Notamacropus eugenii: one gene and its partner. The protein of the gene in region 1 purifies or fractionates together with the protein of each later gene. This does not show direct contact. Links are inferred from orthologs where the notes say so. Each region holds a gene or a part of one and is shown in the gene's direction. Other genes may lie near its edges.

Region 1 (3,909 bases):
ACCAAAGCGAGCTGATGTCTTCTCCAAAACTTATAATCTTACCAAGTTGCTTAGAGCACTTAGAAGTTAAGTGACTTGACTAGGGTCATACCATCGGTAAGTGGCAGAAGTGGGACTTGAAATCAGATTTTCCTGGACTGGAGCCAGCGGTCCATGCCCTATGTCATTCTGACTCTTTTATACATTAATAATAAAACACTGGCCATTGACACAGGATCAACATTTTTTTAGACTAAGAGGGAGATGTGATTAACAATAAAGGAAGTCTGGGGATCTTTGCCTACAGAAGAAATGGACAGACCTGTTTGGAAGTCACGTAGCTTCTATCCCAGGTCTCCTAAAATTCAGTCTCATACCCTTTCTGCTACTGCCCTAGATACAATGTTGCTTCACATTCGTTTGTTGATTCATTTTGGCCTCATACTTAATTCTGCTTCCACTCCCCAAATGGATCATGGGGATAGAGGGTGTAGAAATAACAAGGGAAGCAGGATCTAAGACCTCCTAGCCACTCTTCCTCCTCAACTTCCTCTCCCTTTCTCCCCCTCCGTTCTTCCCCCTCTTCTTTCCTCCCCTCTCCTCCCTCCTCCTCCTCTTCCTTCACCCTGGGGCAATGGCTCTGTGGTTAAGTCTATTAGACACACCTAAACCAAGTGAAAATCAAGGAAACCAATCAGACTGCATTGTCAACTGTGATGCCAAAGACCTCCTTTGTCCTTCCTTTCAAAAATGTGTATTTTATTTATTTATTTTGCCAAGTTGATTCCATTAACTGGCTGTGGGGGTTTCATCTAGAGTAGACACACACAGCCTTAGCCAGGTTCCATTACCATCTGCAGAACAGAGTTTTAGCAAACACAGGTACAAATATTTACTCAAAGTACCAGAAGTCTTGTAATAATTTACGTGTTAGATCGCTTTGGCATTAGCCTTTGTTATTATTAACCAAACTTGTGAGATGTCTGCAGGAAGCAGGGCTTGGGCTGTGCATAGCGATAGCCTCAGGACTCTCAACTTTAACAAAGCTTAAGTCCCTTTCCTCCTTTTCACCCCGACCCTTCCTCTGCCCCCTAACCCTAACCCTCCCTCCCCGTAGCTAAGGCTCTTTGGGGAATACTGTGGTTTGGAAGCGTTTCCCTCCAGTGCCCAGGGCCCTAGAAAGAAGCGGCTGCGTAAACGCAGAAGATAAACGACCAGGATCCAGCCGTGTGCTAAGACTTGCTGCTGGAGAATTCCGCCAGCAGCCGCCGAGCGAGTTGTCTTTCCAGGCAGCTGAGTCACAAACCAGATTTGCCGGAGGTGAGTTCCTCATATCCTCGTTAAGGCTCTGGAGGCACGCCTTCTTTCCATACAAACCTTTCAGATAGAAGCTGCTTCAGCCGACTTCAAGGGGGTGGGTGGTGCCACCGGAGAACTGCAACTGCCAGTCTTGCCGGACGGGGTCTGGGAGAGAAAGGCAGAGGGCACCTCGGGATTCAAAAAGAGGGTACCTCTTTCCCCCACACACCCCCTATGACTGTCGCTTGCTAAACACCCAGTTCTGCTTTCTACTGCCGCGGTCGCACCCCGAGAAGCTGCACAGCTGGGACACCTCTGGCTGAAGGGAGAGGGAGCCGGCTGGGAAACCCGACACCCAACCCTCGGCAAGCCAAGGAAACTTCGCACGCTGGTGAGTTGGGGAAGCCGAGCGGCCGCCGGCAGGCAGTGATGGCTGGAATGCGCTTCCCCCGCTCAGTGTAGACGCGTCGGCCAGCTCGGTAGCCGGCTAGGGAGGAAGTGAGACGTGGAGACCGAGGTGCTGTGGGCCTGCAAAGAAGCAGACAGCTGCTGGGGTTTGTGCTTTCTCAGGCTTGGCGTGGCAGCCTGGAGACGCGCGGTTTCCAGCCCTAGTCCGACAGGGAGAAGGCGTTGGCATGCAGGGCACGCAGCAGCTGGAAACTTACTTGGAGGCTTTTGTGGGATATTTGCATTTGAAACAGCTGGATTTGTTTAGTTCCTTTTTTTACAGTAGTGTAATGCCAACTTCTTTCAGCTTGGTGGGATGTCAGTTAGAAATAACATGTTTCTGATCTGATCTTTAGAGAGAAAATGAGATTGCCTAAGGCAAAAGAGTCCAGTTGAACCTTTCACTAGGTTCAGAAAACTCAGGAGTAATATTTATTTCCCACTTAAAAAAAAAAAAACTTATTTGCTTTTGTTTTGAACTAAATTTGGCATCTTTTATTTTGATTCAAGGGGTCACAAGGTATTAAGCTTCATTCAAAGGATTTCTCAATCACAATATTGGGAGTCTGAAACCTAAGGATGTCCATGCTAAGGAAATGCTCAGTTTAAAAGGCAGAGAATGTGTCAATGAAAGCAACTTCTGATAAATGCCTGCTACCTGAGAGCACAGAGCCAGCTGTTTCTGTCCAGAGCTAAAATTAGTTGCATGACCCTGCAGGTGCTTGTAAGAGATGTCATCAGGCCAAAAAGGAAGCTCTGTGCCTTTAGTGTTATGGACAAGAGAACTGACATATAGGTCATTCACATCTGAGTAGCAGAGTCCCCTTTCCCTCAGGGTGCAGTTTGTCAGCCTAAAGTAGTACTCAGTATGAGTCAGATTTTGATGATCTAAACTTTGAAAAGTGATAGATGAAAGCTTTTTAACCAATCAATGCTGGATTTTACAGCTCTGTATTTTGGGACATGAGTTTATTGTACTAGCAAGCTGTGACATTGGTAAGCTAGTCATCACCCATAAATCATAACAAAGCTATTTTAAGGCCAAGTAGAATGGGCGAAATGATAACTAGCTTCATGCCATTTATGGCATTTGCCCCCAAACAGTTGTTCATATTCCGTAAATGTTTTCTCCTCCTCTCCATGAGATCAGGCCTCCCTGCTGCAAAAAGGAGAATCCTATAGAGCTGAAAACATATTCCATTCATGGCTGAATAATTTAATATTAATAAGCTTTTTTGCTTGCTAAAATATACTATGCACACTGCACTTGAGTTTTTACATCATTGCTTTCAAAAGGAGCACAAAGCAATTTCCAGAAGAAACTGGATGAGCCTGTTCTAGTAGTTGCCAAGGAGGGATAAAAGGAAACTGTCAAAAACCTGAGCAAATGACAATTCCTCCTTCTCATCAGTTTTTTCCCCACCCCTTGGACCCAAACATGTTTGACTTGACAGAAAAGGAAACCTTTTGGAAACGGATATTTCTTCTCTGCAACTTAAGTCATTTGAGCAAATGCAAAGTTAATTTGCAATGTTGTCCTAAGATTTGCTTTTTCTGGTTTAATGAACTATTTGGGAAAGTGGAAGTGGCCTGAAAAAAATACTGAAAAAAAATCTGCTTATTTTTAATGTTCAAACAGGGAGACTTCTGCTGAATTTCATTAATCTAAATACTAGTTTACTTGACCCAGATTCTGCAACAAAATGTTAAGAGATTGATAATGCAAGTGGGAGGGTTCTGATCTGGATTAATCTAGTTCTTTGAGTTTATTGGCTAAAGATCTGATATTTTAGCAGTAGTACAAGATAGATGGCTATTATAGCACTGCCTTAGGGAAATAAAGAGAGAAAAAACAGAGAAAGTATAAAAACAGTCCTTTGCAGTAGTGATGATATATGGTACAATGGTTAGAACCCTGGGCTTGGAATCAGGAAGACCAGAGTTCAAATATGACCTCAGGCACTTACTAGCCATGTGACCCTGGACAAGTCACTTACCCTCTGTGTTAGTTTCTTCTACTGTATGATAGGGATAATTATAGCACTTATATCTCAAGGTTGTCATGAGGATCAAATGAGAAAATATTTGTAAAAGTGCTTAGCAAAGTGGATGATTAGTAAATACTAGTTTTCTTCACCTCTTAAAGGAAAGTGGCCCTGTCTTCACCGTTAGGTAAGCTTACAA
Region 2 (3,909 bases), on another chromosome or scaffold:
CTCCATGATCTTAGCAGGGGCCCTTGTTGACCACTCAGGAGGGAGTTACACAGGCTAACCCTGCTTTAGGGTGCAAGGCTGCAAGACTGGCAAATGGTGCTTAGACTGAGGTAGACCATGCAGTGTTCATGGTGCCAGTGGTTCTCCAGTTCAGGAAAGGGCTAGTTTAGTGTGAAGAACCCAGCCTGCTTGTAATGAGTTTCAACATAGACTTTCAGGTCCTCCATTCCTAGAACACTTACGCTTGTGGCTGTGGTTGTCGGATTCCAGTATTAAAATGAGGGCTGGAGGAACCCACAAGTCTGTACCCAGGAGGTAGCACTCTGCATATGCTGGTCAGAGAGGAAGCTTAGTTGGAGTGAATTGTCAGGAATCCCACCTTTGACACTCACTGGCTGTGTGGCCCTGGGCAAGTCCCTATCATCTTTCCAAGTCTCATTCCTTTGTTATCAAGGGGAAATAGTAATACATCTGTAGTCCCCTCCTCCCTAGAGGTTGCTTTGGGATCTTAAGACATAAGGGTCCTCACTTTGATTGTTCCTGTATGGGGAGGTCTGTTTTTTTTGTTTACTAAATATCCCAGTTCTTTACCCAGAAGGCAGACCTACCAGGCCTGCTCCTGTGGTTTGTCAAGGCTGAAGAATGAATTGCTTCTGACTCCTTAGGGAGACTACAGGATGCTCTTTGAGTGTAGCCTGGGTTCTACAAGGCCTTCGCTCCTTGGCATTGAGGTATTCTGTTTGGTTTTGGTCGCTGTTGCCTGGCGTGTTTGTGTAGGGTGAGTAGGGGGACAAGTCTAGGGAGCAAGACTGGTCCCAGGCCTTGGGAGAAGAACATGGCCAAACAAAATCCTGCCTGGGCAGGTGGTGTCACAAATCCACCCATACTGAAGTGGAGCAGGGATCTCCTGGCCTGCTGCTGGGACAGTCTCCGAGGAGCAGGGCTGGGGGCTGGAGGGGGCTCACTGGCACGCTCTGGGGGAGCCCTAGGGCCTGCAGTGGCAGTGACTGTCCCCTGGATTGGGGGCTGGAAGAAGGGGCGAGGGCCTTGGCCCGACAGCTGGGAGCCTTGTGCCTCGGTAGGCAGCCGCATTTTAGACTGTCACTTGTTTGTCCTAGCAGACCGAGTGGGCACGTATCCCCAAAAGATGTATTCGATTCCCCGTCGAAGCCGGCGCACACACGGGCCACACCGGAACACGAACACACGGACACACACAGGCACACACGCCCTCATTAGAAATCCAGCCTGCCCGAGCCGTCGGGAGGGCAGGGCAAGGGCGGAGCCAGCTCGAAGCCGGGAGGGGGGAGGCCCGGGGCTTCTCCAATCGCGAGCCGGAGCGCGGGGGGTGGAGGTGGGGCCTCCCCGAGAGTTAAGGGGCGGAGTCACCGGCTCCCTTTAAATAAGCGGCCCCGCCCCGCTCCCTGGAAAGTCGTGTCCCTTTCCGCCTGCTTCGGTTGCGCGAGCCGAGCCACTGGCGGCTAGCGGTAGCCGGGACCTGGGCGAGAGACGGGACCCACAGAGATACAGAAACCGAGAGCCAGAGGGAAAGCCCGACCCGCTGATCTCCGGCCCCTGCCGAAGTCCCACCGCTCCCCGCATCTCCAGCCAGGTGATTCCGCGGCTCCTCCGCCCCACTCTCAGAGGCTCCATCCCGGCTTGGCCCCGGGCCCCTGCCCAGGCTGGCCTGCCCTCCCCTTCCGCTCCCGCTGCTCCCGGCTCAGCTCCGCTCTCTCCGCCCTTTTCCTCCGCTCGCCCTCGGGCTTGTTCCCTCCTGCCCCTTCTTTCTCCACCCTCTGTCCTTCCCACTCTTTTCTCCCCGGAGCTTTTGACTCCTTGGTCTCTCCACTCAAACCCGCCCCGACCGTCGGGGTCAGTTGGAAATCCAGCTGTGCCATTTAACCGGCTCTGAGTCCTTAGATAAGTCACTCCCTTTCCCCTGCCTCAGTTTCCTTGTCTGTACAATGAGGGAAGATTGGAGTAGGTGGCCTCTAAGGTCCCTTCCAGGTCTAGAGCTACAGTCCTGTGATGCTCACTCTGCCGGGAGGGAGCACCCCCTTGCCCCTTCCTGACTGGTGCCTTCCCGTTCCTAGACTTCCCCTGGCGCATTTTACTTCCCCCAGCTCCCTGTCCCTTTCCAAGTTTCCCTGCTTCAGCTCATCTTTCCCTCTTCCCCCTTCCGGGCTCTCTTGGGTGCTCTGGGCCCCACCCCTCAGGTCTCCTGTCAGAATACTGTCTCCCTGTGCGCTTTGAGGGGAAAGGGAGCATGAACCAGCATCCCACCTTGGCTGAGGGTAGCCTTTCCTTTCCCTTCAGCACAGATTGGCCTGAGGTTGTGCCTCGCAGATCCCCTCTGGATCGTTGGACCGTCAGGAGGACCTTAGAGGCTGATCTACGGCATCTCCTCTTCCTTCCCTTACCCCTGCCAAGGTAAAGTTCGGAGGCTTTTTGTGTAGCAGGATGGTCCAAGGCAGTGTCCGTTCCTCCTGGGGCTGAAGGTCTGCTGCTAAGAAATATTTAGGGAGAGGTCTGCAGGCTGGCTTGGAGGACTGAGGTCATTTTCCTTGGTCCTCCAGACCAGACAGTATAAGCCTGAAACATCACTCTGGGAAAAAGAGGCACAGAGCATTAACAGTCGTAACTGGGAGCGTTTTTAGCCACTGGGGGGGATTCCTTCCCGCCAAGGAAGGGCTAAATCCTCAGAACCCCAACCTACCCACCTAACCCAAGCACCACGAGATGCATTGGGAGATTCTTGGGAAAGATATGTTTTCCAATAGAAAAAGCTCCCAGACTTCTGTTGTTTAATGAGATGATTGCCTTTCATAGCATCTAGCCCTAGTTGAATAAATATGTGGGCTCAGTAAAACCAATTACGGTGACTTGAATAGCCTTTAAAAAAAAATCAGGTATCAGAAGAAGGAAAGATGGCATTAGCCCTGGTGTAGTAAATGTGGATTTGAGAGCCTGCTGATCTGGGGAAAGAGGGGCCAGACCTTTAATTTAATGAATGTACCCAACTCCCCATGAGAGGAAACTCTACTGTAGGCAGATGAGATGTGAGGGTGGGGCTCAGAGCACCTAAGGGAACCCTGAAGGGGGAAAGGGGAAAGATGAACTGAACCAGGGAACCTTGGAAAGAGAGAGGGGAGAAAAGCAAAATCCCCCTGCTCTGCCACTCAGAACCTTAGAGAGCTAACTGCCCAGGGTCACACAGCCAGTATATCTCCGAGGCAGTACTTGGACCCAGGTCTTCCAGATTCAAGGCTGGAAGTGGGGAACACTCAGAACCATCAGTCATGAAGAACATTTCATGCTCTGCTTCCTCCCCATCAGGAAGGAGGAAGGGGAAGAGATCTCATGCTTTGTCCTCTTCCATCAATGTGTCTCTTAACTTTGCTTTAACTGTTTTTTCTTTTGTTTCAAGTGAGTATTTATGGGAAGTGGGAATGGAAGTGGGGTTTATATCCCGGGATGACTTCATTGTATATGGAAAGCATCAATGAAATGACAAAAACCCAAACCTGAAGAAGGATCCAAGCTGCACGAAAGCCTCGTTCTTCTCTGAGGGCGTTGTTATGCTCCTGAGCAGGGTGATTTCCTATTAGACTATCAGCAGGACATTTGTCGGTCTTTTATGATATCTGGGTAAGCAAGATGAAGGAACAGTAGGTGGGATCTGTAATTATTTGGCACTCTATTGAAAAACTGGAGAGAAGTATTTAGTGGTGTGCCATCAGGCTCTGCCCTTTGCTCACTTCTGTTCAGTTTTATTAATGGCTTGGAGGAAGAAGAATAATCACAAAGTGTTTTGTAGGCTGTACTGTTTGTTACTCACAACAACCCAGTGAAGTAAGGAGGGAAACAAGCATTTAGTCAGTGCCTGTACTTTACAAATGTTATCTCATT

The links.
Region 2: the proteins of RAB27B (region 1) and SYTL4 purify together in Homo sapiens (co-immunoprecipitation; 3 studies listed by BioGRID and IntAct, counting the BioPlex papers as one, with this or other methods). This does not show direct contact. The link is inferred for Notamacropus eugenii from reciprocal best matches to the Homo sapiens genes RAB27B and SYTL4.

Annotation. Positions count from the first base shown.
Region 1 is NC_092875.1:436,370,637-436,374,545, reverse strand, and holds the start of RAB27B (ras-related protein Rab-27B), read left to right. Parts: upstream 1-1,246; 5' UTR 1,247-1,669; intron 1,670-3,909. UniProt on the Homo sapiens protein: Small GTPase which cycles between active GTP-bound and inactive GDP-bound states. In its active state, binds to a variety of effector proteins to regulate homeostasis of late endocytic pathway, including endosomal positioning, maturation and secretion.
Region 2 is NC_092879.1:92,449,465-92,453,373, reverse strand, and holds the start of SYTL4 (synaptotagmin-like protein 4), read left to right. Parts: upstream 1-1,424; 5' UTR 1,425-1,612; intron 1,613-2,316; exon of another isoform or gene 2,317-2,321; 5' UTR 2,322-2,430; intron 2,431-3,427; 5' UTR 3,428-3,909. UniProt on the Homo sapiens protein: Modulates exocytosis of dense-core granules and secretion of hormones in the pancreas and the pituitary. Interacts with vesicles containing negatively charged phospholipids in a Ca(2+)-independent manner.